Linked DNA regions of Macaca mulatta. The protein of the gene in region 1 binds, or shares a complex with, the protein of each later gene. Links are inferred from orthologs where the notes say so. Each region holds a gene or a part of one and is shown in the gene's direction. Other genes may lie near its edges. The genes, in order: SART3, CCNT1, USP15 and USP4.

Region 1 (6,850 bases):
CGAGAGGTAATCACTTTCCTGACTTTTGTGATAATCATTCCCTTGCTTTTCTTTATAGTTTTACAAGCTATGAAAGTATCCTTAATTAATATATTTAATTTTGCTTGCTTTTGAACTTTTATATATTGGAATCATGCTGTATATTTTATTTTCATTGAACATGCTTTTGGGTTTTACTCATGTTGCTAAGTATAGTTCCAGTGCATTTGTTTTCACTGCTGTAAAGTTGTCTGTATACTGCAATGTATTTATCTATGTTGCTGGATAGTTGGGTCATTTCCAATTTTTTGCTAGGAGGAGGAGCAGTGCCACTCTGAATATTCTTGTGTGTGTCTCCTTGTACACATGAAAAAGAGTTTCTCTAGAATACTTAGGAATGACTTTGCTGGATCATAGTGTGTTGTTAAAGTGTTTTCCAGGTTATCAGTTTGCACTGCTGTGAGCATTATCTGAGAGTTCTTGTTGCTTGTGCCAGTCTTGGATATTGGACATACTTAAATTCTACTTAATTTGATGAATTTGAAATTGTAGTTTTAATTTGTATTTCCCTGGTTACTAATGAAGTTGAGCATCTTTTCACGTGGATTGGCCATTCAAGTTTTTGTGCGTGTTAAAGTCTTCAGGCTGGGCACAGTGGCTTATGCCTATAATCCCAGCACTTTGGGAGGCGAAGGCGGGAGGATTGCTGGAGCCCAGGAATTTGAGATCAGCCTGGGCAACGTAGCATGACCCTGTCTCTACAGAAGAAAAAAAAAATTAGTTGGGCTTGGTGGCACGTGTCTGTGTATCTGTAGTCCCAGCTACTCCAGAGGTGAAGCCCAGGAGGTCAAGGCTGCAGTGAGCTGTAATCATGCCACTGCATTCTTGCCTGAGTGACAAAGCAAAACCCTGTTTCTTTAAAAAAATGTGTTTGGGCCGGGCGCAGTGGCTCACGCCTGTAATCCTAGGACTTTGGGAGCCCGAGGCAGGTGAATCACGAGGTCAGGAGTTTGAGACCAGCCTGGCCAACATAGTGAAACCCCGTCTCTACTAAAAATACAAAAAATTAGCTGGGCATGGTGGCTGGTGCCTGTAATCCCAGCTATTTGGGAGGCTGAGGCAGGGGAATCGCTTGAAGCTGGGAGGTGGATGTTGCTGTGAGCCGAGATCACACCACTGCACTCTAGCCTGAGCAACAGTGCGAGCCTCTGTCTCAAAAAAAAAAAAAAAGTCTTTGACCCATTTCCCTTTTGATGTATCTTTTTTCTAATTGATTTGTGGGAATGCTGAGTCTTAAGTCTTATTTTAGGCTGTATGTGTTGCAGATTTTCTCCCCAGTTTGTTGTTTGTCTTTTCACCTCCCCACCCCACCCACCACCCACGGAGTTTTCGCTTTTTCACCCAGGCTGGAGTAAAGTGGCGTGATCTCGGCTCACTGCAACTCCCCCGCCCCCCACGCCCTGTTTCAAGCGATTCTCCTGCCTCAGCCTCCTTAGTAGCTGGGATTATAGGCCCTCGTCACCACGCCCGGCTAATTTTTGTGTTTTTAGTAGAGATGGGGTTTCGCCATGTTGGCCAGGCTGGTCTCATACTCCTGACCTCAGGTGATCCACCTGCCTCGGCCTCCCAAAGTGCTGGGATTATAGGCGGGAGCCACCGTGACGGCCTTTTCATTTTTTTTTTTTTAATGGTGTTTTTTGATGAACAGTTCTTAGTGATAAATCCAATTAGATTAAAATTCTTTACCTTTTGGTTGTGCTTTTGTTGTGCTTATTTGAAAAATATTCCCTAGTTAACTCTAATTTCTTATAACAATTTTATAGTTTTCTGTTTCATATTTAGGGCCTCATCCACCTGGAATTGATTTTTAAGTGGTATGAGACTGGGTCTGGTTTCATTTTTCCATATGGAGAACCAGTTGTTCTGGTACTGAGTTTGATTATTCCTTCCTCCCCTCACTGATGTGCAGTGCCACATCTGTCATAGATTAGCTGTCCATGTATGTGTGGGTCTTTCTCCTGGATTTTCTATTCTGTCCCACTGGCTTACGTTACACTGTTGTAATGATGAGAGTTATAATGTTTTGCTCTTGGATAGGGTGAGTCCCATCCACCTTGTTCCTCTTCAAGAGTATCTTGGCTTTTTTTTTTTAGCCTTCAATGCTTCCATCAGATTTAGAATCAGCTTTTGTAGTTATATTTTTAAAATCTTTTTTTTTTTTTTTTAATTGGAATAGCATTGAACCTGGAGATCAGTTTGGGGAATTTGGGAAGAATTTACATGTTCCAATCTATGAACATAGTATAGGTTTCTGCTACTTACATCTTGTCTTTCTGTAAAGCTTTATAATAATATTATAAATTTGTCCAGTGTCTTCAACACGTGACCTTTAGAGTCCCCTGCGAGGGCGATTTGCTGGTAACAGATTTTCTCTGTTCAGAAAGGTCTTTACTTCCCTTCTTGAAAATTATTTTCTTAGGCTATAGAATTCTAGACCAACAACAACAACAAAAGAGTTCTGGACAGACAGTGTGTTCTCAGCAATTGATTGTATCTTTCTGTCTTCTGATGTCTGTTGTTGCTGTTCAGAAGTCAGCGGTTTGTATAAATCTTGCTTCTTCAGAGGTAGTTACTGTTTTTTCTCTGACTGCTTTTAAGATCTCATTGATTTGGTTTACTGTCCTCTAATTTCATTGCAGTAGGTCCATGTGTGGACTGGCTTGAGGTTTTTTGGGCTTTTTGACTGTTTTTTCTATCTTTCTTTGCCAACAATAGAATTGTGAAGATCAAATTCTTAATGTATGTCAAGCCAGCAAAAGGTTAACATTTACTTAGCTTGCCACCCTCATTTAGATTTTGTCCTTAGTCCTTAGAATTTCTTGTTTCTTTGCCAGTTTGTTGATGAATTTTAAGAAGATACTATATTTAATTTAGTAGTTTTAGTTGTTTTGAATGGTACAGTGTGTCTGGGTAACTAATTCTTTCTCGTTACTAGAAATGGAGGCTGTGAAACATCCCCTTTCTGAGTACGGAGCCTGCGTGTTTTCTTACTCTTCTGCACTACTCCTTCCTTTCTTTTTCATGTGTAAATGATTTGCATGTACCTGTTCTTCTCAAAACTCCAATCATTCCATTATGTCATGGCCATCAGCAAAATATGCCTGAAGAGAAAACATGTCGAATAAGATTTTTTTCTAAAAAGAATTTGATCGTATGTCTTTGGATCATTAAACATTCAGCACAGCTGCCTCCATTTTCTGCATTTACCTACATTCTTCCAGGAACTGATATTTGGAATAAGAAACTTGAATAGCATCAGGCACCACAATTTTCCAGTTTGGTTGTATTAACTCGACTCAGTAGCCCAAGAACATGACTTCTGGTTTGGAAGGGTGGTTAACAGTGGTCACTGGCAAAGGTGTTGTGTTGCTCTTTCACTCAGTTCACGATTGATGGGCCACTTAAATTCCCTGTGGTCTAGGAATGGATTTAGAAAAGGGTTTATGGAGCCTTTGTTATGACTGCCATGAACTGGCACTTTGGACCAGATGAGAAGACTCTTGTTCTGCTCAAGAAGTTGTGGAGGCCATAGTGGAGTGGTTCTGAGAGTGAGGATTTGGCGATTCTTAGTTACTGTAGCCAGTTTTGCCAAAATTTATTTTATTTGCAGATGTGTTGTGCTTCCTGCCAGTAACTCAATTCAACTTTAATACAATTTTCCTGTACTCTAGTTGCAGGCAGAGGCACCAAGGCTGTCAGAATATCAAGCATATATCGATTTTGAGATGAAAATTGGCGATCCTGCTCGCATTCAGTTGATCTTTGAGCGCGCCCTGGTCGAGAACTGCCTTGTCCCAGACTTATGGATCCGTTACAGTCAGTACCTAGTAAGATCACTGTTCTAATTTCATTTTATTTTTGCCAATTTATAATCTACTTAGAGTGCCAGGAGTTTGTTGCATATGGCCCTGCTCTTGCTTTTCCTCCATCCACTTTTTCTCCTCTTTGCCAACTTGTTTAGGAAGTTTTAGTGTTTCAGGTTATTTTAAAATGGTCACTAACTGTAAGTAAAATTAGCATATAGTCTGTGTTGAGGACTTAAAACAAATTGATATTTTTCTTTTAACTTTGTATTATGGAAAAAATGTAAACATATAAAAGTAGATAAGTAAAATGAAACTTCCTGTACCCCCCACCCAGCTTCAATAATTATTAACAATTATAGCTTTAGTTTACTTTGATCTGTAGTCTCACCTACTTGCCCCTTATGTGTTACTTTGAAGCAAATCCAGAAATGATATTTCATTGGTAAATATTTCAATATGTGTATATAAAATATTTCAGTGTATATGTATAAAAGGATCCAAATGAGGTCTATCCAGTAGGGTTGGCTGACGTCTCTTAAGGCTCTTTTAACCTATAAGTTGCTTCTGTCCTTTTCCTCCACTCCCCCTAGTGAATTTTTTTTTTTTTTTTTTTTTTTTTTTTTTTTTTTGAGGAAACCCGGTCCCAAGAGACGTTTATAAGGATATTTCTTTCATCACTTGGTTGTGCTGGCAATGTCTTGTTGATGGTGAATTCTTAATAAAGTTTAATTTCCTGATTCTGGAATTCTTTATCATAGGATCGGCAACTGAAAGTAAAGGATTTGGTTTTATCTGTACATAACCGCGCTGTTAGAAACTGCCCCTGGACAGTTGCCTTATGGAGTCGGTACCTCTTGGCCATGGAGAGACATGGAGTTGATCATCAAGTAATTTCTGGTGCGGATGTTTTTGTGGGAGAACTTCTAAGCTATTTGTCCCAAGTGAGAAACAGAGAGCGGTGACAAAGTCATTACATCAGTGTTGCCTGGGGTTTTGTTTGGGATATGGAGTGTAGTGACAAAAAGGGCTCTGAGAGATGAACTGGTTATATTTGTGGCTTCTTTGAGCTTTTTAACATGCTAATATTCATTGCATTTTCTAAGAAGTTGTAGTCTTTTCTCTCTCTTCAACATTCCTGTCTAGCTCATTTCATCCTGTTGCATCTGTTAGTCTTTAAAGTCATGTAGTGTTTTTTTTTTTTTTTTTTTTTTTTTTTTTTTGAGACGGAGTCTCGCTGTGTCGCCCAGGCTGGAGTGCAGTGGCCGGATCTCAGCTCACTGCAAGCTCTGCCTCCCGGGTTTTTACGCCATTCTCCTGCCTCAGCCTCCCAAGTAGCCGGGACTACAGGCGCCCGCCACCTCGCCCGGCTAGTTTTTTGTATTTTTTAGTAGAGACGGGGTTTCACCGTGTTAGCCAGGATGGTCTCGAACTCCTGACCTCATGATCCGCCCGTCTCGGCCTCCCAAAGTGCTGGGATTACAGGCTTGAGCCACCGCGCCCGGCCCATGTAGTGTTTTATAGTCAGTAGAATGCAGTAACTTTATATTAGCTTCCATTTGAATTGGTAACAAATCCTGACTTTTTCTCCAACTCCAGTAACCTTCGAGAAAGCTTTGAATGCTGGCTTCATCCAGGCCACTGATTATGTGGAGATTTGGCAGGCATACCTTGATTACCTGAGGAGAAGGGTTGATTTCAAACAAGGTATTTAAGCGCATGTTTTTCACTTCAGAGCTGAACATGTTCTTAACACAACTTTTGGCGAGATGTCCCAGTTCCCCAGATAACATTGTGATTGGGCAAATGATGTAGACTAGGCATTGGTGACTTTTTCCCCCAGAAATCCTAGTGATTTCTATCTTAACAAGTCATGCTGTGGATTGTAAAGCAAGAGAGTAATGGTTTATACTGGCTCTGCCAGCCTCTTTAGTCTTAGCTCTCATTTCTCTTTTCTGGTCTTTTTATTTATCCTAAATACTTCTTGAAATAAGACTGCTGTGTTTTAGAAAAATGTTTGTACCTCTGTGGGATCCTCTGCCCCTTCATGTCCCCCCCCAAAACAGCCAGAAAACCCCTAACTTGTACTTGCACACTCATGTCAGCTGTCACCTCATACAGGTAGCCTTTAGCCATTCTTCTGTTTGCCTGTGTCACCCCAGCTGGGGGAGACTCCCCCCACACAGCACTCTGTGTTCACCTTTTTCACCATGCTGTCCATACTCTACTGTGTTCTAATTTCTTTCTCCCTGACTATGTGATGAGGGCAGGAATTGGCAATTTTATTTCTGTGTCCCTTGCATGATGCCAGGTACATAATGGGTCTCTGGGCAGTTTCAGCATAGGATAAAAAACAAAACAAACAAAGCCAGGCTATGTGGTTTCCTAAAGCCTTTTTTTGTACTTTCCACTAGACTCCAGTAAAGAGCTGGAGGAGTTGAGGGCCGCCTTTACTCGTGCCTTGGAGTATCTGAAGCAGGAGGTGGAAGAGCGTAAGTATGCCCCAGCCTGTGGTTTTGCCCAGTTGTATTTCCTGGTCTGTACTATTTCCTGGTTGATGTACCTTTCCAGCTAGAGGCTATTTGTCTCCAAGTTCCTTTCTAATTTTACTAATTCTGTGTTTGAAGGTTTCAATGAAAGTGGTGATCCAAGCTGTGTGATTATGCAGAACTGGGCTAGGATTGAGGTAAATGTTTTTGACAAATCTACCACTTTCACCCACCATTGTTGAATAGCATCCTATTAAACCTTAATTAAAATTGAGTCAGAATCCCAAATAATGGGCTAAGCTCTATAAGGATTTGTGTTATTTACCTAAGTAATGGTCTAGGCTCTACAAGGATTCATGTTATTTACCTAGCTTGACACATATTTGTAAATAATGTTGGTGAAAATACTAGCTCCCAGCTACAAGTTGTGCAGTAAATGTTTAAATGCTAGGTATTCACTCGTTTACTTCCGTCTCTGCCTCTTTGCTTCATTTGTGAGAGCACAGTGAGCGTGTACTA
Region 2 (7,600 bases), about 60 Mb from region 1:
AGAAGTTTGCTGCAGGTGCAGGGCACTCATGGAGAACCTCTGCTAGGGCAGTGTAGAAGGGAAATATGTAGGGTTGGAGCCCCCACACAGAATCCCTACAGGGCCACTGCCTCATGGAACTGTGAGAAGAGGGCCATGGTCCTCCAGACCCCAGCATGGTAGCTCCATTAACAGCTTGCACCATTTACCTGGAAAAGCCACAGACAGTCAATACCAGCCTGGAAAGGGAGATGGGAGGGAGGCTGTACCCTGCAAAGCCACAGGGGTGGAGATGCCCAAGACCATGAGAACCCACCTCTTGGATCAGTGTGACCTGGATGTGAGACATGGAGTCAAAGGAGATCATCTTGGAGCTTTAAGATTTGACTGCCCTGCTGGATTTTGGACTTGCATGGGGCCTGTAGCCCCTTCGTTTTGGCCAATTTCTCCCATTTGGAATGGCTGTATTTACCCAATGCCTGTACCGCCATTGTATCTAGGAAGTAACTAACTTGCTTTTGATTTTACAGGCTAATAGTAGAAGGGACTTGCTTGTCTCAGATGAGACTTTGGACTGTGGACTTCTGAGTTAATGCTGAAATGAGTTGAGGCTTTGGGGGACTGTGGAGAAGGCATGACTGTATTTTGAAATGTGAGGACATGAGATTTGTGAGGGGCCGGGGCAGAATGATATGGTTTGGCACTGTGTCGCTACCCAAATCTCATCTTGAATTGTAACTCCCACAATTTCCACATATGGTAGGAGGAACCCGGTGGGAGGTGATTGAATTATGGGGCAGGTCTTTCCTGCACTGTTATCACGATAGTGAATGAGTCTCCTGAGATCTGACGGTTTTTTAAAAAATGGGAATTTGCCTGCACAAGCTCTCTCTTTGCCTGCCGTCATCCAGGTAAGATGTGACTTGCTCCTTGCCTTTTGCCATGATTGTGAGGCTTCCCCAGCCACATGGAACTGTGAGATCTCCATTAAACTTCTTTCCTTTGTAAATTGCCCAGTCTCGGGTATGTCTTTATCAGCAGCATGAAAATGGACTAACACAGCTGTTTAAAAGAAAACATACATGACTACATAACTGAAAAAGTGCTTATTCTACTAAAAAATCTATTTTATAAGTGCTTATTCTGTTAATAGTAAAGAGTCTATGAGGGAAGAAGTTTGAAATCCTAAGTTATTTTCCCTTATAACCAGAAGTAAGTCATTTAAATCTTCCTGAACCTCAATTTCTCCAGGGTAAAATGGAGTTAGTACTAACTACAGGCAGTATATGGCAGAGGTGACCTGAAATGGAAACACTTCTGAAAATGAATGACAATCAAACATAGTAAGATCACCTATGCCTAGAAATGACAAAACCCAAAATATTATCAAAGCAAGACACAGGATTCTAATATTATCCAAATCTATCTAAAATTACCCAAATTTAATCAAGGTAAACTGAACGTGGTTCCAGAAAAGCAGGAAGTGAATGGGAATTGCGTGAATGGGAAGACCAACGGAATTAGATTTAAGATCTACACTTATTAGTGGTGTAGTGAGGGCAAACTCCCAGAGCCTCAGTTTCTGTGTTGTGGGTGTTTTGCACATTTATCTGACAAAGATTTAGGGACTATTTACTACGGCCAGGACTTTACTAGGTAGGTGCCATACAAAAATGAAGGCATTGCTCTTGCCTTCAATTTCAATACAATGTAACAAATATTATAACATTAAGGGCTACTGAATATTTCCTAAGTATTGGGTACTATTATAAATACTTTTTACTCATTAAATCTTTACTCCCTTTCACAATCTAAAACATAGGTATTATCAAAGAAAAGAGGCATAGAGAGGTTAACTATCTTGCCAGCACCAAACAGTTATCAGACGCTGGAGCTGGGATATATCCGGTTTTTTTTTTTTTGTTTTTTTTTTGAGAAGCAGTCTTGCACTGTCGCCTAGGCTGGAGTGCAGTTAGATTTAGGCTCACTGCAACCTTCGCCTCCCGGGTTCAAATCATTCTCCTGCCTCAGCCTCCCGAGTAGCTGGGATTACAGGCGTGCGCCACCACACTTGGCTAATTTTTGTATTTTCAGTAGAGACGAGGTTTCACCATGTTGGCCAGGCTGGTCTCCAACTCCGGACTTCAGGTGATCCGCCCGCCTTGGCCTCCCAAACTGCTGGGATTACAGGCGTGAGCCACCGCGCCGGCAAAGGAGCTGGGAAATATCTTGACAGAGGGCAGGAATTTGCTAATCTCTGCAAGTGAGGGGTAGTGGTGGAGGCTGTTCACACTCAAGGGGCAGTATTAGTTCACCCATTAGCAAACGTACTTAAAAATTACCTCTTGAGAGTTCCGCTGAATAAATGAAACAGTATATTTAAGTCAGTATTGTGCATGGGACATGTAAGCTCTTAATGTTATTAATTTCATTTTATTCCTTTAAGTTGGATCACTGCGGCGAAACGTGAGAATGTTTTCATGAGTTTGGCTACACATTAAAGCGACCTCTCCAAATGGGTTGTCGTATTTTACATTGCTACCAACAACGTAACAGCCTTCTAGTTGCTTTATGTTCCCATATACGAAAGAGCCCCACCATTTGATTCTGTTTTTCAGTTTCTGACAGCCTCACCTACTTTCTCTTTCAAGTTCATCTGCCCCATTTTTATTTTATTTATTTTTTAGACGGAGTCTCTCGCTTTGTCACCCAGGCTGGAGGCTGGGGTGCAGTGGCGCGATCTCGGCTCACTGCGACCTCCGTCTCCCGGGTTCAAGCGATTCTCCTGCCTCAGCTTCCCGAGTAGCTGGGACTACAGGCGCACGCCACCACGCCCGGCTAATTTTGTATTTTTAGTAGAGACCGGGGTTTCGCCATATTGACCAGGCTGGTCTCGAACTCCTGACCTCGTGATCCGCCTGCTTCGGGCTCCCAAAGTGCTGAGATTACCGACGTGAACCACCGCGCGCGGTCCATCTGCCCCATTTTATATCACCACTGCAGTCACAAACTAAGTTCTCCTAAGAACCACCAAGCGGCGCGTGGGCGGGCGCCTCATACCACTACAATTGCGACCTCACAACCTAACCCCGGGCGCCAACGCTCAATCCGGTTCTCGCGGGAAGATTCATGGTTTTTAAGCGAGAACTTCTAAGCCCACGCCACCTCCCAAGGGTCACGTGACGCGCCTGCGTCCTCGCCTCAAGGTTTTTTTCTCGTCGCATATTGGCTGTTAACTCGGCTACGGGGTGTCGCGAGGTGCATTCCGGAAGTAGGTCCTTTGACTTTTGCTTTCTTTACGGAAGAGAGTCACAACCCGGCGGTCGACGCTTAGCGGAAGTTCGTCAAGTCGCAGTTGCCCCCGCACAGCGGATGTGGGTCGCCTCTTAGGTGACGCTGGGAAGTGTTTGCAGCCTCCGCCGCTGCCTTCTGGTTGAAGCATTATGGAGGGAGACAGGAAGAACAACAACAAACGGTGGTATTTCACTCGAGAACAGCTGGAAAATAGCCCATCCCGTCGATTTGGTGTGGACCCAGATAAAGAACTTTCTTATCGCCAGCAGGCGGCCAATCTGCTCCAGGACATGGGGCAGCGTCTTAACGTGTATCCTTGCGGCCTAGGCCTTCGGCCTTTGAGTTGGTCCCGCCATGCTCTGGCGTCTAGGTCTCAGGCTCTGGTGGGGGACGAAAGTGGGGAAGAAGGTGGGCAGAAGCTGGATGTCTAGTTGGGAGAGCCCACGATGGGGCGGGCTGAAACTCAGTTCGCGCTAGGGAAGCGAGGCGGAGTTGATTTCCCGCTCGCTCACCCGTGCCACCAACCTTGCTGGGCATTCGTATCCTTCCCGGCTTCGTGTTTTAACCAGCCCTTCCAACTCTCTCTTCGTTGTGTTCTGATCGGCTCTGGTGACGTTAAGTTTCTCATTTTCCGCTGTGCCCTAGGGGTTTGGGTCTGGCAGAGGTTTCTCTGTTGAGGGCTGCTTCCGAAACCTAGTGTGTAAATTTCGAGAAATTCAGTACCTGAAAGTCTTATAAAGGGTGGTCTAGAATTAATGCCTCAGCCTTGGTCCAAAATCCATTCCTCATCTGCTAGCTGTTTAAGTGACCTGTCAAATTCTTGGTCGTCTTGTCTATAAAATGGGATGATACCTCTTGTGTTTGATTCTGTGTCCATCACAATGCTTTGCATTAAGATGCTCAATTAGTAGCTGCTGTTTTATAGAATTTCAGAGGAAAGATGTTAGTTTACGTTTGTAGGGGTTACCCACGAATCTAATGTTTTAAATCGTTTACAAAATACTGGGTCCTTAAGTTACTTAGAGTGGTGGTGTGTATTTCATTTTCTTTCTATTTCAAAAATGAGGTAACGGCCGGGTGCGGTGGCTCACACCTGTAATCTCTGCACTTCTGGGAGGCCGAGGCGGGTGGATCACCTGAGGTCAGGAGTTCGAGACCAGCCTGGCCAACATAATTAAACCCCTGTCTACTAAAAATACAAAAAATTACCCCGGCTTAGTGGCGGGCAGCTGTAATCCCAGCTAGTCAGGAGGCTGAGGCAGGAGAATCGCTTGAACCCGGGAGGTGGAGGTTGCAGTGAGCCGAGATCGCGCCACTACACTCCAGCTTGGGCAACAATAGTGAAACTCCGTCTCAGAAAAAAAAATTTTAAAAAAAATGAGGTATCCTCTCCCACATATTTTTGTTTGTCAGGAAATACACTTATTTTGTGGTGGAGAAAACTTGTATAGTTTTAAAGTTCTTTCCACTCTGTGTGTGAAAATTTTCTTGGGTGCAGCTTCTATTTAAATGTGTGGCTGACAGTAATGTTTGTATCTTAAGGGTGTGTGCATCTCAAAATGGGTGTCTTTTTTATCGCCAGTTTGTTTCCTGCTGATGTCCAGATGTGTTTCCTAAGCATCCTATCAGTACGGAGTAAATCTTTTTGTTCGAAATTCTATTTCAGTGTATCCTTAAAACGCTTTCCTTTTTGTATGTGTGTTGTCATTAAGGTTGTCAGCCAGGCGCGGTGGATCGCACCTGTAATACCAGCACTTTGGGAGGCCCAGGCGGGTCGATCACTTGAGGCCAGGAGTTCAAGACCAGCCTGGCCAAAATGGTGAAACCCCGTCCCTACTAAAAATACAAAAATTAGCCATGTTTGGTGGCGAGTGCCTATAATCTCAGCTACTGGGGAAGCTAAGGCAGGAGAATCGCTCGAATTTGGGAGGCAGAGGTTTCAGTGAGCCAAGATGGTACCAGTGCACTCCAGCCTGGGCGACAGAGCGAGACTCTGCCCCCTCAAAAAAAGGCTGTTGTAATTTGGGACTGCATCATCTCTCTACCCCATATTGTCTGCTGAAGTTTTTAGAAGTAAGGCATTTACAAGTTTTTTGTTCCTCTTCAGTTAATGAATTATCAGATCATTTCAGATGTTTCCTGTCCCGTGGATCACCACATGAGAAGGCTTGGTTGCCAGAGAGAAGTGGAACTGAAAATAATTTAGGCCGGGTGTGGTGGCTCATGCCTGTAATCCCAGCACTTTGGGAGACTGAGGCGGGTGGATCACTTGAGGTCAGGAGTTCGACACCAGCCTGGCCAACAAGGTGAAACCCCATCTCTACTAAAAATACAAAAATTAGCCAGGCGTGGTGGCCCAGCCGGTAGTCCCAGCTACTTGGGAGGCTGAGGCAGGAGAATTGCTTGATCCCAGGAGGTGAAGGTTTCAGCGAGCTGAGGTTGTGCCACTGCACTCAGCCTGGGTGACAGAACGAGACTCTGTCTGAAAAAAAAAAAAAGAAAGTAATTTAGTTGATGGAGTTTAGCAGGTGAGAGAGGTAGTGGAGACATACCTATGGGCCAGATCAGGGTGGGCGCTGTAAATCATATTAGATTATAGATATCTGCCACCATGCCTGGCTAATTTTTGTGTTTTTAGTCAAGGAGGGGTTTCGCCATGTTGCCCAAACTGGTCTCAAACTCCTGACCTCAGGTGATCCACCTGCCTCTGCCTCTACCCAAAGTCCTGGGATTACAGGTGTGAACCACCGTGCCCAGCCAGGCCTTATAAATTGGTTTTTTTTTTTTTTTTGGAGATGGAGTTTTGTTCTTGTTGCCCAGGCTGGAGTGCAATGGCGTGATCTTGGCTCTCCGCAACCTCCGCCTCCCATTTCAAGCGATTCTCCTGCCTCAACCTCCCGAGTAGCTGGGATTACAGGCATGCCCCACCACGCCCAGCTAATTTTCTATTTTTAGTAGAGATGGGGTTTCTCTGTGTTGGTCAGGCTGGTCTCGAACTCCTGACCTCAGGTGATCTGCACCCCCTTCGGCTTCCCAAAGTGTTGAGATTACAGGAGTGAGCCACCGCACCCGGCCGCCTTATATAGTTTTTTTAAAACTCTGTCTAGATCCATGCATCTTGATATGTTTGTTTATTCATTCAGTACATTTATATTAAATATTTGTTATGTGTAAGCCATTGTAATAAGTGTCAGTTGGTGATTAGTAATTTGGTGAAAGAAAACAGACATATTCTTTGATTTGGAGAGATAAGTATGATTTTCATTTAGTAGCATCTACTTGCTTGGCCATTTCATCCTTTTGGGAGGGAGATAGAGGTTATCTTTTCCAGAATTATACCTGCCTGTTTTTGGATCTTAACTTGAACTCTTCAGCTCGCAATTGACTATCAACACTGCTATAGTATACATGCATCGATTCTACATGATTCAGTCCTTCACACAGTTTCCTGGAAATGTAAGTATAATTTTTTTTTTTTTTTTTATGGTGTAATCCTTTTGTGATTGATTCCAACTACCTATTCCATTTGTGGTTGGTCTTTGCTACTGAACTGTGACTTGAACTTTAGAATTTAGGGTTGATCAGTTTCATTATGCGCTGTGTTGCTGTTCTGAATCCAGCTTTTCATTTTTCCTGTTAAGTGTCTGCTTGTCTAGTGGATTTATAGTACATCCATGTCAATTCTCTAAAGTAGATTAGGCCGGGTGCAGTGGCTCACAACTGTAATCCCACACTTTGAGAGACGGAGATGGGAGGATCACTTGAGCCCAGGAGTTCAAAACCAGCCTGGGCAACATAATGAGACCTAATTTCTACAAAATATCAAAACAAAAACAAAAACCAAGTAGCTGGGTGTGGTGGTATGCATCTGTGGTCTCAGCTACTCCAGAGGCTGGCAAGAGGATTGCTTGAACTCAGGGAGTTGAGGATGCAGTGAGCCAAGATCGAGTCACTGCACTCCAGCCTGGGCATCAGAGTGAGACCCTGTCCCCAAAAAAACCCCCAAAAACAGATTATCAGACATCTAAAGTCAACATTTTGAGATTGGAGGAGTAACATTAAAGGGGAAATCATGTGTAATTTACGTATAGCTTTATTTTTCTTGCTGGGGCAGGGAGACAGGCAGGGTCTTGCCCTGTTGTCCATGGTGGAGTGCAGTGGTTTGATTATAGTTCATTGCAGCCTTAACCTTCTGGTCTCAAGCAGTCCTCCTGCCTTAGCCTCCCAAGTGACTGGGACCACAGGCCTGCCACGATCCCTGGCAATTAAAAAAATTTTTTTGTGGAGATAGGGTCTCCCTATGTTGCCCAGCCTGGTCTCAAACTCC
Region 3 (7,632 bases), about 46 Mb from region 1:
TTTTAGGCAGATTTTTCCCTTTGGCTCATGTAGCCAGTCCCATACAAAATTATGAAATAGGCAAAACTTATCTTGGAAATCTCCTTTGTACATTCCTCCATTAAACTGTATTACAAAATGCAGTGCTTTTTTCTCTGGTTCACCCCAAGCTGAAAACTGGCTCTCTTTGACACTTCAGTTTTAAGCCTGACTCTCTCCTGGAGTATTTACATTTGAAGTCCCATCTCTTAATTGTTGAGTAAAAGAACCTCTCTTAAAGGAATTGTTTAAACATCAGGAAGCAGAGAGGTTTGGAATTACTAAAGGATAAAGGAATCCTTCCTAGAGAATCTCTAATTTCACAACCAACTGTGACTTTAAGAGGTCCAGCCTGTTCATATCTAGTCTAATTTCTAAAGTACTCAGCATACTCAACTCTCTAGGTTAAGTTTTAAATTGACAAGAAAGGTACACAGAGTCTGAGAAGGCAATAACAATCACCGAGCAAACTGTACATTCATCAGATGTTAAGGAATGCATCAGTGAAGACATTCATTCTAAATAAGCAGATATAATCCCTGATTTATATTCAATTATTTGTGATTAAGGTGAAGTAGCTTTTCTCATCAATTTATCTATTTAATTATTCAGTAGGGATGTGGACTTTAACCAATTTATGAACAATATCTTATTTCTCTTCATAATTGAGAGAAGCACCAGTAAAATAAGCAGAATTTCCATAAATTGATCAACTGAGATCTCTAAAATGTTGATTGCTATAAACAAAATAATAAAGGTCAATAGAAAAATAGAAGTTTACCCAAACTTTCCAGATTCTGCAGCCAGACTGCCTGGTTTCAATTTAGGTTCTGCCACTTACTTGCCTCAATTCCTTATCTCTAGACTTGAAATAATAATAGTACCTATATCATGTGACTGCTGTGAGAATTAAGTTAGTACTTTAAAGTGTTTAGAACCATGCTAGGCACTCTGTAAGTGCTTGCTAAATAAAATACTATAATTTTATCTCTTTCCTGACTCTGATGGCAGTCAGTTAGGTCTACAAAATGGCTCCATAAATCTGATGTATAATTCAAATGGTCATTAAATGTACACATCTATATCCAGTTAACTTACTGCCTTGAGCATGGTGCAAGTGAAGAAAATATTATTTTACTTCACTGTAAGGTTGTAGGTGTCAACACTTCAAAAATGCATTTTCTCTTAAGGGAAACTGGACATTAGGGTATGAATGATTTATTGCTACTTGGTTATGTTATAAAATGAAGGAGAGCACAGTTTTGCCTTCAAAACCCCTAACACTTCTTTTCAATAGCTTTTTTGAGGTATAGTTTACATACTGTAAAATTCACCCTGTCATCAATAAACAATACTAGTGTTCATTGAATGGCTATTACATTCCAAGCAATAAACACAAATTGTTTCATTTAATCTTCATAAAAATCCCTTAAGGTAGGTATTATTATACTCAATTTTATGATTAAAGGGTAAGAACTTTGCAGCTAAAGGTTGAAGTGAGGTTTGAATTTATGTCCATGTGGCTCTAATATATGTTTTCCATATTCTGCAGCTTCCCTTCAGAAAATTACTTTGTTCTCTTTCAGAGAGTGACTGGAAAAAGGGGGGAAATGTGACTTTTAGAGGGTAGCCGTGGTTAGAGAAACTCTCAGTCTTTTAACCTGTCAGGAGAAAAGCCAGAAATAACAGTCACTGAAAGTTGTTTTAAAACTCTCAATTCAAGCTTGGCATGATAATGCAAAATATTATTATGATGCAGAAATAAGCAATCATAATCATAATACTGATATACACAAATCATAATGCGAATGTACACTACTTTCACTTGGAAGGATTCATCACTTTCTACTAGCGTAACTACACCTTCTTCATTGCATTCTCACCAAATGAGTTAGGGTTTAAAATGGGGAAACAAGAGAAATGATGCAGGGATTCTGGCCCATCTTTTAGACTTTTCACATCAAATGGTATGTTAAAATCAAACCCCTGGACATCATGCTCGGGAATACTTAAGTAATTTTGCCACAATTCATTTATTAAACAAATATTTAGGTGATTTTTACATGTCCAGTAGTACTATGCTAACCACCAGGTATACAGAGGTTAAAACAAAAGATGAACCCAGTTCCAGCTCTTAAGGAGTTTACATTTTAGTCCAGGCTTTCATAAGGAGAGGCAATGAGTGTGCTGTACTGTATAGCACGTGGGCTCTTGAACCAGCCTCTCCACTTACCTCTCCACCTGCTGTGTGACCTTGGCATTTGCTTTTTAAGCGACTCGATTTTCTATTTTGTAACATAATCGTTGACTTCAAATGAAAGACATACCTAGTTTCATTTCAGGTGTACGGCACCACAGGAAGATGGGGCTAAGAAAATGTTACTCTCTTGTATAAAGAAGAGGGTTTCTCTCACGTTTTCTTCCTTTAGTATCTGGCATTATTCAATAATGTCCATATTCTACTCGATGTTCACCGATGAACTGGGACATGTTTTTCACCGCAGCTTAGTCGTCTGGGTGTGCCTGGGGAGGCGTCACAAAGAGCCTATAAAGGGTCCCCACCTACAATGGGAGTAAGAGCGCTGGAAGGAACCCCGGAAGGGCATGGAGACCAAGCGTTCGGTTTCGGAATGTTTTTTGTGTGTGCCCGTATTCACCGAGCTTGGGTTCTGCTACTTTTAACGAAAAGCCCAGTCGCGGAGCTGCTAAATTTTCTGCCATATCTTAGCCGTCCCCACGCCCCCCCGCCCCACCCTACCTCACCCCCAGGCGTGAGTGAATGCGCAAATAAGGGTTTTCAAGGCGTCAGTGGGAAAGAGGGAGGGGAAGGCAACGCCGAGGATGGGAGGACAGGGCGGTGGCATCCTTCTAGCGAGAGAGCGCCGGAGCCCTCGGCGGCGAGGAGAGCTAAAACCTGGCTGTCCCGAGCCAGAGGAGGCCGAGGCAAGATGCTGAACGGGCGGGGACCGATGGGGGGCAGCAGACCATGGCCGCGCACCTAGTCCGCCCCCGGGGCCTCCTCTTGTCCCGAGGACCACCCCCGCTCCCGGTGTCTTTTGGTTTCGACCGGCCGACTGGGAGGGGCCGTGGGGACGCCATTCCCATAATGCTCTGGGGCGTGCCGCCGCCGTCGCTGCCACCTCCCCTACCGCTAGTGGAAGAAGATGGCGGAAGGCGGAGCGGCGGATCTGGACACCCAGCGGTCTGACATCGCGACGCTGCTCAAAACCTCGCTCCGGAAAGGGGACACCTGGTAAGAGAAAGGGGTTGAGATGCCTGCGGTTGCCCGAGGATAGTGGAGAAGAGGGCGGGAGCCGCGAGCTGGTGTCTTTCGCTGGTGACAGGTGCGGGCAGGTCTGGCGGCGGCCGCCGGGGTAGCAGGATTTTGGCTGCTTCTGAAATGTTAGGGCAAAGGTTGGACTCTAGATGAGGGTCAGGGTTCGTGGCTTGCCAGGGCATGCTGAAAGGTGTCCGGAGAGCGGCGGCGGCGGCGGCACTGACTCGTGCGGTTCTCTTCTTCCTCCTTCCTTCCGTAGTGCCGCTCCCACCTCAGGCCTTCTCGAATGATAGGTTATAGTGGTTTGGTTTGAGTCTCATATACGCTGTTTTGACAGGTCCCGGTGCCGCGGCTTATCATGATCTCACCGGCTTTACTTCTCTGTTCATTTCCTTTCCTAGAATTGTCGGCGTCCAAGTTCCCTTTTATTCTGATTCTTGTAGTCTTCCGGGAGGCAGGCTGCAGGATGTTTGCGGTCTGTACTACACAGGTGGCATGTCAGTGCCCCACATAAGAGAAAGAAACCCTAGTTTCCAGTTCCTTGTCAAAGGAGGGAGAGGAGTAGGGAACCTTAGGCTTATGAGAGACCACGTGGTCTTGTGCTTTAGTGGTGGCTTGATAAAAGCCGGCAGCGTTTCTGTTAGATGTGCAGCCCTTCCCTTCTGTTTGAAGAATAACGTAGGCCTGCAAAAAGTTGATAAGTCCACTTGAGGCTTAACTAACTGCTAATATTCGAACTTGTAAAATACCAAAGGATATATATTTATAATACTGAAGGATGTATGTGGACATTTTCACACTTGTCGGCCATATCCAGTGGCATCTAGAATAACTTAAATATGTGAATATGTAACATAATTTAAAATTCCTTATTTTTGGGGAAGGATAATGTGCCTCTTCATTATAATAAAAAATATTTTCACTTCCCACTGTTACCATAACAGTAGTATATAATTTATAGAGTGTTTCACTATGGCATAGTGGAAGGAGCAGTAAGATTTAGACCTGAGTTATGTCACAGTTTCACCACTCAACTTGCAGTATGACTTTGAGGAGAGTTAATTTAAATCATTGCACCTCAGTCTCTTCTGTAAAATGGACAGTATTTTATTATAAAGGTTTTATCTTGATTCGTTTTAATATCTTAAGAATTTTATGTTTATGAGATACTAAATTTTAGTTACCTTCTGCTCTTTACTCTTGACAAAAGGCTGTGATACTGGGATCATTTTCAGTTAAGCTAATAGGTGGCAGATTTAGGACCATAATTTAACCTTGATCTAAGTCTTAGTCTCTTTTTTCTTTTTTGGTAGGCTGTATACTATGTGTATACGATAGAAATCCCTAAGGATGTAAATATATACTTGTTTCATTGTATCAAAAAAATAGAATCTTCAAGTGACTTAATAATAGTTATTTTTGACCTGGCAGGGTGGCTCACGCCTGTAATCCCAGGACTTTGGGAGGCCGAGGAGGGAGGATCACTTGAACTCAGAAGTTCGAGACCAGCCTGGGCACCACGGCAAAACCCCGTCTCTACAAAAATACAAAAAATTAGCTGGGCATGGTGGCACGCCTGTGGTCCCAGCTACTCAGGAGGCTGAGGTGGGAGGATTGCCTGAGCCTAGGAAGCAGAGGTTGCAGTGAGCTGAGATCCGGCCACTGCACTCCAACCTGGGCAACGTGAGACTCCATCTCAAAAAAAAAAGAAAGTTACTGTTTTTATTATAATGTTAGTAAGATGTTTATTACTGTGGGGAAATTGGACATTTCCTAGGACACCCATGTTTACCTTGGCTTGTGGTATGACAAATAAGTCCCTGCTCACTATTGTAAGTTAAAGAACATTTAAAAATTCTTAATTCACCCAACCTATTACCACCTTATTTTAAAAAGTGAATTTCCTTAAAATAGAAATCTATTAAGTCTATAAGTTAAAATATAAGTATTATTGTCTCATTAATGTCACGTTTTTGTATATGGAGTAATTGGTGTTGACACTACAGGATGATAGGAGCAATATGTGCATTGTGGGCGTTTAACTTTATAAAGTTTGGTATTTTCAAATGAGTATATTTTTGCTTTTTGACAAAATTAATGTAAATTGTTTTATATATGTGCGTGTGTGTGTAGAGCTCCATAGGTACAAACTGTGTTTCACTATATTGCCCATGCTGATCTTGAACTCCTAGCTGCAAGTGATTCACCTTAGCCTCCCAAAATGCTAGTATTACAAGTATAAAGCACGACTGAATACAAGAGGCTCATAAATTTGAGTCATTTCAGTGCTTTTATTTTAAATAAAAGTAAACTGAGGACCACATATTTAGATAAAAGCAGATTGTGCAAGTTTATCCTCACGTTAACTTTCTCTTAAAGGAAAAAACCTGAGAGAGAAAGAAGGTACTGGGAGTTGCAGAAACCAGTTTGATTTATTTGTAAGCCAGTTTATTTGCAAATTAGCAAGTGAAACCTGTTCAAAAACAAAGTAGTATAGAACAAAAAATTGATTCAGAGTTTTAGAGAGAATAATTTGATAAGTATGAATTTGATGATGAACTTACAAGTACAGAACTGGTCAGGATATGTATTAATTTAGTTTATGTTTTTGGAACTCACTAGAAAGTTGTTTTTCCTTTTAATACCTTTTTTTAATCTTTGAATCAGGTTCTTTGAAATTTACCATATGGAGTATTGTCGTGGCATATAGTATGTAACTGTCTAGGAAAGACTGGGCTATTGAGAAAAAGTGGTGGGCTTACCATAAGTTTATTCTTGAAAGTTTAATACAGATGTCTGAAGTTATAGTCAAATGCATCGCAGTGAATAAATTTCACTTATTAGCTCTTGAGTACTTTGCAGATAATGACTGTCTCATGGTGACTTGGGTAACTAACGTCCATACCTAGGCAAGTATAAAGATTTACTTGATTCTGTGTAAGTACTGCAGTTTCTCTTTATTTGTAAGCAGTAAGTGATTTTTATCAAAAATCTGATTTTCTAGAGATGAAAATAAGTTACACAAGTGTGAGATGAAGAGAAACATACTTTATGATGTATTTGGTTCTAGACTTTATATTGAGAAGTAAATCAAAATTAATACAAGAGAGTAATACCTTTTTTTTTTTGTTTTTGTTTTTTTTTGAGACGGAGTCTCGCTCTGTCGCCCAGGCTGGAGTGCAGTGGCGTGATCTCGGCTCACTGCAAGCTCCGCCTCCTGGGTTTACGCCATTCTCCTGCCTCAGCCTCCTGAGTAGCTGGGACTACAGGCGCCCGCCACCGCGCCCGGCTAATTTTTTGTATTTTTAGTAGAGACGGGGTTTCACCGTGGTCTCGATCTCCTGACCTTGTGATCTGCCCGCCTCGGCCTCCCAAAGTGCTGGGATTACAGGCGTGAGCCACCGCGCCCGGCCAGTAATACCTTTTTAAAAACCATGAAGGTAGCACTGATTTGTATAAGGAGTAAAGCAGTCTGAAAATGATATTTGTTGATCTGTATTTCAATTCCAACAAGAGATCAGAAAACCATGAACAAGGTTTAGAGTTTAGGAACTATCGGAAAGAGATAAATGAACTAGAATTGTATAGCTTAGGATGAATTTAAAACAATTTTCAGATACGTGGTAGTTTCTTCTGATGAGACAAAAAGATAATTTGCTTAAGGTACATATGACTATTTTAGGAACATATTTAAAGTATGGTAGTTAATGAGTTACAAAGAAAATTTGTAGCTCATTTGGGTTATAAAATTCTCTCTTTGGAAAAAAATGCTTTTGAGACACTCTCACTGTGTTGCCCAGGCTAGAGTGCGGTGTGTGGTCTCAGCTCACTGCAACCACCTCCAGGGTTCAAGTGATCCTCCCACCTCAGCCTCCTGAGTAACTGGGCCTACAGGCACAGGCCACCACGCCTGGCTAAGTTTTGTATTTTTAGTAGAGACAGGGTTTCCCCATGTTACCCAGGCTGGTCTCGAACTCCTGGCCTCAAGTGATCTGCCCACGTTGGCCTCCCAAAGTGCTGGGATTACAGGTGTGAACTACCTGTAAAATTTCCAGTCTGGAAATTTTTTAACAAATAGGCCTATTATGAGTAAATAAAACATAACCACAAATCATCCAAAGCACTGCTTCATTTCCCCCATTTTTATTAAATGTTATTCATCTGCCAATCATTTTCAGTAATTTTTATGTGTGATTATGTTAAGTGGCAATGTGTAGTTAACTTTTGCAGTTTAGCAAAACATTGCATGCCATTTTTGTATAAACCCTAATAACTGTAGTAGATTTAAGGTAACTTTACAGAGTAATTTGTGTGTAGAGTCATTTAAAATCTCTATG
Region 4 (7,628 bases), on another chromosome or scaffold:
AAAACATAGCTCATCTTTTCAACAGGAATAGGGTAGAAAAATAAGAATAAAAAAATAAAATAGACATGGCTCATCTGTTTCTCCTCTTCTCCCTCACAGCCACCTCCATAGTGAGAGGGTCCTAATGGTTCTGTGTCTGAGAACCCTCAGTCATTTTGTCTCTGCTCCAAAACTTCCTACAATGCCTGCCTGCCTTTTAAGGCAGGATATATGGTCTGTCTGGCCTCCTTTCTAGCTTTAGATCCCCTTAGGTTGTAGTAGTGTTGTAGTGCCCGGCTCAACTGGCCTAATCCCCACTCTCTGAAACTGTCCTGCCTGTTCCAGAAATTCTCTTCTGGTCCCTTGAGTCTCCCCTCCTGTTACATGCATCCTCATCTTTATTCTGCCAGCATTTTTTTTCAATACCACACCCAAATGTTACTCAAGTCAAAGGTTTCCTATGAGAGCAGGGGTTGTGCCTGGTGTTCTACAGCCTTTGGTTCACACCCTTTTTTTTTTTTTTTTTTTTTTTTTTTGAGATGGAGTCTGGCTCTGTCGCCCAGGCTGGAGTGCAGTGGCCGGATCTCAGCTCACTGCAAGCTCCGCCTCCCGGGTTTACGCCATTCTCCTGCCTCAGCCTCCGGAGTAGCTGGGACTACAGGCGCCCGCCACCTCGCCCGGCTAGTTTTTTGTATTTTTTTAGTAGAGACGGGGTTTCACCGTGTTCGCCAGGATGGTCTCGATCTCCCGACCTCGTGATCCGCCCATCTCGGCCTCCCAAAGTGCTGGGATTACAGGCTTGAGCCACCGCGCCCGGCCTTTTTTGTTTTTTTCTTTTAGAGGGGGTCTCACTCTGTCGCTCAGGCTGGAGTACAGTGGTGCAATCTTGGCTCACTGCAACCTCCGCCTCCTGGGTTCAAGCAATTCTTCTGCCTCTGCCTCCCGAGTAGCTCAGACTATAGACATGCGCCACCACGCCTGGCTAACTTTTTTTTGTATTTTTGGTAGAGATGGGGTTTCACCATATTAGCCATGCTGGTCTCGAACTCCTAACCTCGTGATCTGCCCGCCATGGCCTCCCAAAGTCCTGGGATTACAAGCATGAACTGCCCTGCCGGGCGCCCAGCACTTTTTTTTTTTTGAGAGGACATTTCCGTCTCCACGTTGGTCAGGCTGGTCTCGAACTCCCGACCTCAGGTGATCTGCCTGCCTCGGCCTCCCAAAGTGCTAGGATAACAGGCGTGAGCCACCGCGCCTGGCCGGTTCACACCCCTTATTTGTATTTACTGTTTTTTTGAGACAGGGTCTCACTTTGCCGTCCAGTCTCGAGAGAAGTGGCACCATCTCGACTCACTGCAACTTCGACCTCCTGGGCTCAAGGGATCCTTCTACCTCAGCCTCCCGAGTACCTGGGACCACAGACGCGCGCCACCTCCCGGCTAATTTTTGTAGAGACAGGATTTCGCCATGTTGCGGAGGCTGGTCTCTAACTCCTGGGCTAAAGCTATCCTCCCGCCTCAGCCTTCCAAAGTGCTGGGACGACAGGCTTGAACCACTGCACCTGGCCTGGTTCACACCCTTTAATTGCACTTACCACATACTGCTAGGCATTGAGGTTATTTCTGAAACATCTCTACTCTTCCACTAGATTCTATGAGGGCAGGAACTAGGTCTTATTTTTCTCTGAGGACAAGAACTGTTAGACAAGTGTATGGAGACTCATCTAGACCTGACTTCCTCTTTCCTCTGGGTTTATTTCTCCCTCCAGGAAGAGGGTTGTGTGTTTGTGTGAGCGGGGCGACTGGAAAACACAGTGTTCAGGACGTTGTATCTTGTTCCAGGAACTAAGTACATGCCTGGGTAACTAATGTGGAATACCTCTCCTTCCCCTGTTGCTATCGCCCCTCTGTGGCTGCTTGGCAAGTAGCTCAGTATGAAGAGCTGACGGAATTCTCAGGTGGGCCAGGTGGCTCTGGCGTCCAGATTGTTTAAGGCGACTGTTAATAACTACAGCACACCGTTCAGTCTTAGTCCCAAGGCGCTGATGCACGTGGTACTTCCCGAAATCCCTGTTAGGGCCGCTGGAGCAGGAGCCCGGATCCCACGTTTGGGCAGCTGACTCGCCTAAGGCCTCCAGCTGAAAGCGGAATGGCAGGGGTGAGAATGAACAGACCTAACTACGGGGCTTCTCGCACCTGGCCTGCATTTATTTAGGACCAGGATAACCTCGAAGGCCGGGCTAGGGTGCCCCATGGGTCGTGGGCTTGCTGTCTGACTCCCTGAGATCGGCGGGCTGAACAGAGCTTCATCCTGTAGCGCCATCCTGAGCAGAGGAAGGGGCGCCCGACGACCGCGTAGCAGGCGGCAGGGCGGGACGAAGTAGCAGCTGCTGCTCCCCACCCACCCCTCTCGCATCTGCCTTTTCGCTCCACTGTTTGCCGGTGAGCGAAGTGGCGCGAGACTGGAGGGGATAAAAGACAGCGGCTGCAGGAGCCGAAGGCCGCGGCACGAGGTGGGGCAGGGGCGGGCACGCGAGCGTGCGTGCGTGCGTGCGTGGGCGCGGTCTATAGCACGCCGCGCGCGGGGCGGATGTCCGGGCCGGCTGGGCCGGGGCCGCGGACGAGATGGCGGAAGGTGGAGGCTTCGGTGAGCGACCGGATGCGGAGACTCAGAAGTCGGAGCTTGGAGCCTTAATGAGGACCACACTCCAACGCGGCGCGCAGTGGTGAGCATCCGGCTCTCTCTTCCTCTGTGCAGAACCAGGGGCCGAGTATCTGGCCCTTAGGCCAGCCCCCTTTTTCTCGGCTACAGTAGGGGCTGGGCGGGGATGGTATGTAGTGACCCTGGAAGAGTAGCCTGACACCTGCCCCTCGGGAGAACTCCAGGATCAGCTCTGGGAAAGCGCAGGCGGGGCCTGAGGGTCGCCTCGGCTCATTTGGAGCCCCAGTGGGTGGGCCCGGCGGGGGCTAGGGGGATGGATGTGGAGAAGGGGAATGTTGGCGGGGACCCTGAGGGTGGGGAGAGCCCTTTACCATGAGGACTCGCCGTGTGACCTTGGGCGAAGGTGTCACAGACCTGGATTCCTCACTGTTAAAACCAGGATAGCAATATTTGGCTCTCCGCCCTCAGTGGGTTGAGGCGAAAATCAGAAGTACTTTGTAACTTGTAAACTGCCAACAGATGTCAAGGTCAGAAGCTGAACAAATGTCTGAGAGCCCCAGATTATTTTGGTAGCAAGTGTCAAAAATATTTGTGACAGCAGTATCTCGGAGTGGGAGAGGGGGATAGCCTAGGTCCTGGAGCTAGATAGAAGATGAGGAGTCCAGAATTTAGAAGACCCAGGCTGAGTTATTGGACATCTTAACAGATTGTTTGGTGGAGGGGACAATACTTTGTACTACTGGAGAGATTCCTGGGTGGTATTATTGTGTAGTACAAAAACTAAGGCTAGACTTTGCATTTAGTATGATTGAGTGTTACCCATCTTGTTTTTTTGTTTGTTTGATTTTTTGAGACAGAGTTTCACTGTTATTGCCCAAGCTGGAGTGCAGTGGCGCCATCTCGGCTCACGGCAACTTCCGCCTCCCGGGTTCAAGCGATTCTCCTGCCTCAGCCTCCCGAGTAGCTGGGATTACAGGCTCACACCACCATGCCCAGCTAATTTTTTGTATTTTTAGTACAGACTGGGTTTCACCATGCTGAGCAGGCTGGTCTCGAACTCCTGACCTTGTGATCCAGCCGCCTCTGCCTCCCATTACAGGTGGGAGCCACCGTGCCCGGCCCGAGTGTTACCCATCTTTAAGAAACCATTGTGGGCCGGGCGCGGTGGCTCAAGCCTGTAATCCCAGCACTTTGGGAGGCCGAGACGGGCGGATCACGAGGTCAGGAGATCGAGACCATCCTGGCTAACATGGTGAAACCCCGTCTCTACTAAAAAAATACAAAAAACTAGCCGGGCGAGGTGGCGGGCGCCTGTAGTCCCAGCTACACAGGAGGCTGAGGCAGGAGAATGGCGTAAACCCGGGAGGCGGAGCTTGCAGTGAGCTGAGATCCCGCCACTGCGCTCCAGCCCCGGCGACAGAGCGAGACTCCGTCTCAAAAAAAAAAAAAAAAAAAAAGAAACCATTGTGGTGATGACCTACAGAGGAATTGAGCTGGAGGATAGAAAAATTGGGGTTATGAGGAGTACAGATAACAGCTTATGTATTCACCTTGAGCTAGCCAGTTTGTGAAAGTCAGAGTAAACAGGTACTTTTTTTGTGGGTTTTTTTTTTTTTTTTTTTTTTTTTTTTGAGGAATTTCGCTCTTGTTGCCCAGGCTGGCGTGCAATGGCGTGATCTCGGCTCACGGCAACCTGTGCCTCCAGGGTTCAAGTGATTCTCCTGCCTCAGCCTCCCCAGTAGCTAGGATTACAGGCATGCGCCACTATGCCCGGCTAATTTTTTTTTGTATTTTTAGTAGAGACAGGGTTTCTCCATTTTGGTCAGGCTTGTCTCAAACTCCCGACCTCAAGTGATTCACCCGCCTTGGCCTCCCAAAGTGCTGGGATTATAGGCTAGAGCTACCACGCCTGGCCTAGCAGAGGTACTTCTCAAGTTAACCTGTATAGGGCTCATAAAGAATACTCAGCAGAAGCAGAGGAAGTTTAAGACTAAAATCATACAGTAAAATTGTATGGAAGGTATTGCTCAAGGGATTTGGAAGAAAAATAGCATTTTCGAGACGGATGTGTTTATGGATCCTTGTGACCTCTGGGAAGTTGCCTGAACTCCTCTCACATTTGTTGGTTATACAGTTTTAAGGATGCACCAATATAATTGTTGATGCTTTGTTGCTCCACAGAGATTCTGTTTTAATTGTAAAACCCCAGAGTGATACTTTTTTTTTTTTTTTTTTTTGAGACGGAGTCTCGCTGTGTTGCCAGGCTGGAGGAGTACAGTGGCATGATCTCAGCTCACTGCAATCTCTGCCTTCCGGGTTCAAGCGATTCTCCTGCTTCAGCCTCCCTAGTAACTGAGATTATAGGCAGGCACCACCACGCCCGGCTAATTTTTGTGTTTTTATTTATTTATTTATTTATTTTTTTTTTTTTTTGAGACGGAGTCTTGCTCTGTAGCCCAGGCTGGAGTGCAGTGGCCGGATCTCAGCTCACTGCAAGCTCCGCCTCCCGGGTTCACGCCATTCTCCTGCCTCAGCCTCCCGAGTAGCTGGGACTACAGGCGCCCGCCACCTCGCCCGGCTAGCTTTTTGTATTTTTTAGTAGAGACGGGGTTTCACCGTGTTAGCCAGGATGGTCTCGATCTCCTGACCTTGTGATCCGCCCGTCTCAGCCTCCCAAAGTGCTGGGATTACAGGCTTGAGCCACCGCGCCCGGCTAATTTTTGTGTTTTTAGTAGAGACGGGGTTTCACCATGTTGGCCAGGATGGTCTTGATCTCCTGACCTCGTGATCCACCTGCCTCAGCCTCCCAAAGTGTTGGGATTACAGACATGAGCCACCTCTCCCAGCCAGCATAGTGATACTTTAAAAATATAAATAGGTCTGGCACAATGTCTCATGTCTGTAATCCCAGCACTTTGGGAGGCTGAAGCAGGAAGATCACTTGAGGCCAGGAGTTCAAGATCAGCCTGGGCAACATAGCAAGACCTAGCCTCTACAAAATAAAAATAAAAAAATAAATTAGCCAGGCATGGTGGTATGTACCTATAGTCATAGCTACTCAGAGGCTGAGGCAGGAGGATCACTTGAGCCCAGGAGTTTGAGGCTACAGAGAGCTATGATTGTGCCACTGCACTCTAGCCTGGGTGACCCTCTCTCTAAGGAAATAAATAGATAAATAAAATACCACATTTGCTTACATTTAAGTAAAAAAGTGGTAAGTTGAATATGAAGCACAACTTAATGCTTTTTGACAAGATGAACATACCTAAGTGCTATTATATGTACATGTGTATGTGTATATTTATATATGTACACGCATGTTATATACTTTTTTTTTTGAGACAGGTTTTTATTCCTGTCAGCCAGGCTAGAATGCAATGGCGTGATCTCAGCTCATTGCAACTTCTGTCCCCCCGGGTTCAAGTGATTCTTGTGCCTCAGCCTCCCGAGCAGCTGGGACTATAGGCATGTGCCACCACACTCAGCTAATTTTTGTATTTTTAGTAGATGGGGTTTGTTGCCCAGGCTGGTCTTGAACTCCTGAGCTCAAGTGACCATCCGCCTCAGCCTCCCAAAGTGTTGGGATTATAGGTGTGAGCCACTGTGCCTGGCCTTGTGTGTACATTTTTGGAACTCATTTGGTCCTTAAAAGAAAACAAGTGGATGGTGTTTCTAACCCATTTTCAGAAAGAGCATTAGTTTAGTGCTGTTCATGTCAAGTAAAACAGTGTAACCAAACTGTCTGCCTAGACTGGGACCTCTATAAAGATCATTATGAAATTAATGACTTGTGGTAGGGTGCGGTGGCTCACGCCTGTAATCCCAGCAATTTGGGAGGCTGAGGTGGGCAGATTACCTGAGGTCAGGAGTTTGAGACCATCCTGACCAACACGGAGAAACCCTGTCTCTACTAAAAATACAAAATTAGCCGGGCGTGGTGGCACACACCTGTAATCTCAGCTACGGGAGGCTGAGGCAGGAGAATCGCTTGGACCCAGGAAGTGGAGGTTGCGGAGAGCCGAGATCACACTGTTGCACTCCAGCGTGGGTGACAAGAGAGAAACTCTGTCTCAAAAAAAAAGGCCAGGCACTGTAATCCCAGCACTTTGGGAGGCCGAAGTGGGTGGATCACCTGAGGTCAGGAGTTCGAGACCAGGCTGCCCAATATGGTGAAACCCCATCTTTACTAAAAATACAAAAATTAGCTGGGCGTGGTGGTGGGCGCCTGTAATCCCAGTTAGTTGGGAGGCTGAGGCAGGAGAATCATTGGAACCCAGGAGGCAGAGGTTGCAGTGAGCCAAGATCATGCCACTGCACTCCAGCCTGGGCGACAGAACAAGACTCGGTCTCAAAAAAAAAAAGAAAGTATCGGTCTCAAAAAAAAAAAAAAGAAAGACTCCATTTAAATAAGCATTTTGAAGTCACTTGTTTTCTTTCTTTTATTCACTCTTTGAACAATCATTTCACTTAATGGATGCATACCCTGGGGCCAGACTCTCTGTGCCATGTGGGGCCTAGGCCCTGCTCCTGCTCTTGTGACAGTGTTTTTTAGTGGGGATTGCATATGCCTCAAGTGGAAGGACCATAAAAAAGATTAAGGAAGCAGCTGCAGACATTTATAATCTCAGCTTTTCTGCTACAGTAAATTTTTGTCTCTCTCTCTAGGTATCTTATTGACAGCCGGTGGTTCAAGCAGTGGAAGAAGTATGTGGGCTTTGACAGCTGGGACATGTACAATGTGGGCGAACATAACCTATTTCCTGGCCCAATAGACAACTCTGGGCTATTTTCAGGTATAGTAAATGTTGCTTTTCCAGCTAAACATTCACCTGGGCAGTGGCCTGATACTATGTGCATCTATAACATGGACATTGTGAACTTTCCTAGTGTGAGGAGATAGAAACAAGTACCCTCAATTTGCATCTATAGCAGAAGTCTTTGCAAACCCTTAATGAGAAGTTAAGCTACTTTTATTCCCTTAAATTAAC

The links.
Region 2: SART3 (region 1) and CCNT1 share a complex: the UniProt entries of both Homo sapiens proteins name them as parts of the 7SK snRNP complex. The link is inferred for Macaca mulatta from reciprocal best matches to the Homo sapiens genes SART3 and CCNT1.
Region 3: the proteins of SART3 (region 1) and USP15 are in contact, whole or in part, in a crystal structure (PDB 5JJW), measured with the Homo sapiens proteins. The link is inferred for Macaca mulatta from reciprocal best matches to the Homo sapiens genes SART3 and USP15. Residues at the interface, in NP_055521.1 of Homo sapiens: Ser438, Ser439, Lys440, Glu443, Gln490, Arg493, Glu494, Trp496, Asp497, Met500, Thr501, Ala505, Trp511, Tyr514, Arg533, Cys537; in NP_001239007.1 of Homo sapiens: Ser23, Leu24, Asp48, Trp50, Gly121, Met122, Phe123, Val124, Lys125, His126, Lys128.
Region 4: the proteins of SART3 (region 1) and USP4 are in contact, whole or in part, in a crystal structure (PDB 5CTR), measured with the Homo sapiens proteins. The link is inferred for Macaca mulatta from reciprocal best matches to the Homo sapiens genes SART3 and USP4. Residues at the interface, in NP_055521.1 of Homo sapiens: Asp437, Ser438, Ser439, Lys440, Gln490, Arg493, Glu494, Trp496, Asp497, Met500, Thr501, Ala505, Trp511, Tyr514, Lys529, Arg533, Cys537; in NP_003354.2 of Homo sapiens: Met24, Thr27, Leu28, Ser53, Trp54, Glu123, Gly125, Leu126, Phe127, Val128, Lys129, His130, Cys131, Lys132.

What each region holds. Positions count from the first base shown.
Region 1 is NC_133416.1:115,667,350-115,674,199, reverse strand, and holds part of SART3 (spliceosome associated factor 3, U4/U6 recycling protein), read left to right. Parts: intron 1-3,710; coding exon 3,711-3,866; intron 3,867-4,603; coding exon 4,604-4,742; intron 4,743-5,441; coding exon 5,442-5,549; intron 5,550-6,256; coding exon 6,257-6,334; intron 6,335-6,469; coding exon 6,470-6,528; intron 6,529-6,850. UniProt on the Homo sapiens protein: U6 snRNP-binding protein that functions as a recycling factor of the splicing machinery. Promotes the initial reassembly of U4 and U6 snRNPs following their ejection from the spliceosome during its maturation.
Region 2 is NC_133416.1:55,879,063-55,886,662, reverse strand, and holds the start of CCNT1 (cyclin-T1), read left to right. Parts: upstream 1-3,360; 5' UTR 3,361-3,422; coding exon 3,423-3,583; exon of another isoform or gene 3,584-3,812; intron 3,813-6,647; coding exon 6,648-6,729; intron 6,730-7,600. UniProt on the Homo sapiens protein: Regulatory subunit of the cyclin-dependent kinase pair (CDK9/cyclin-T1) complex, also called positive transcription elongation factor B (P-TEFb), which facilitates the transition from abortive to productive elongation by phosphorylating the CTD (C-terminal domain) of the large subunit of RNA polymerase II (RNA Pol II).
Region 3 is NC_133416.1:69,547,289-69,554,920, forward strand, and holds the start of USP15 (ubiquitin carboxyl-terminal hydrolase 15), read left to right. Parts: upstream 1-3,181; 5' UTR 3,182-3,182; coding exon 3,183-3,271; intron 3,272-7,632. UniProt on the Homo sapiens protein: Hydrolase that removes conjugated ubiquitin from target proteins and regulates various pathways such as the TGF-beta receptor signaling, NF-kappa-B and RNF41/NRDP1-PRKN pathways.
Region 4 is NC_133407.1:112,775,518-112,783,145, reverse strand, and holds the start of USP4 (ubiquitin carboxyl-terminal hydrolase 4), read left to right. Parts: upstream 1-2,574; 5' UTR 2,575-2,603; coding exon 2,604-2,704; intron 2,705-7,305; coding exon 7,306-7,433; exon of another isoform or gene 7,434-7,476; intron 7,477-7,628.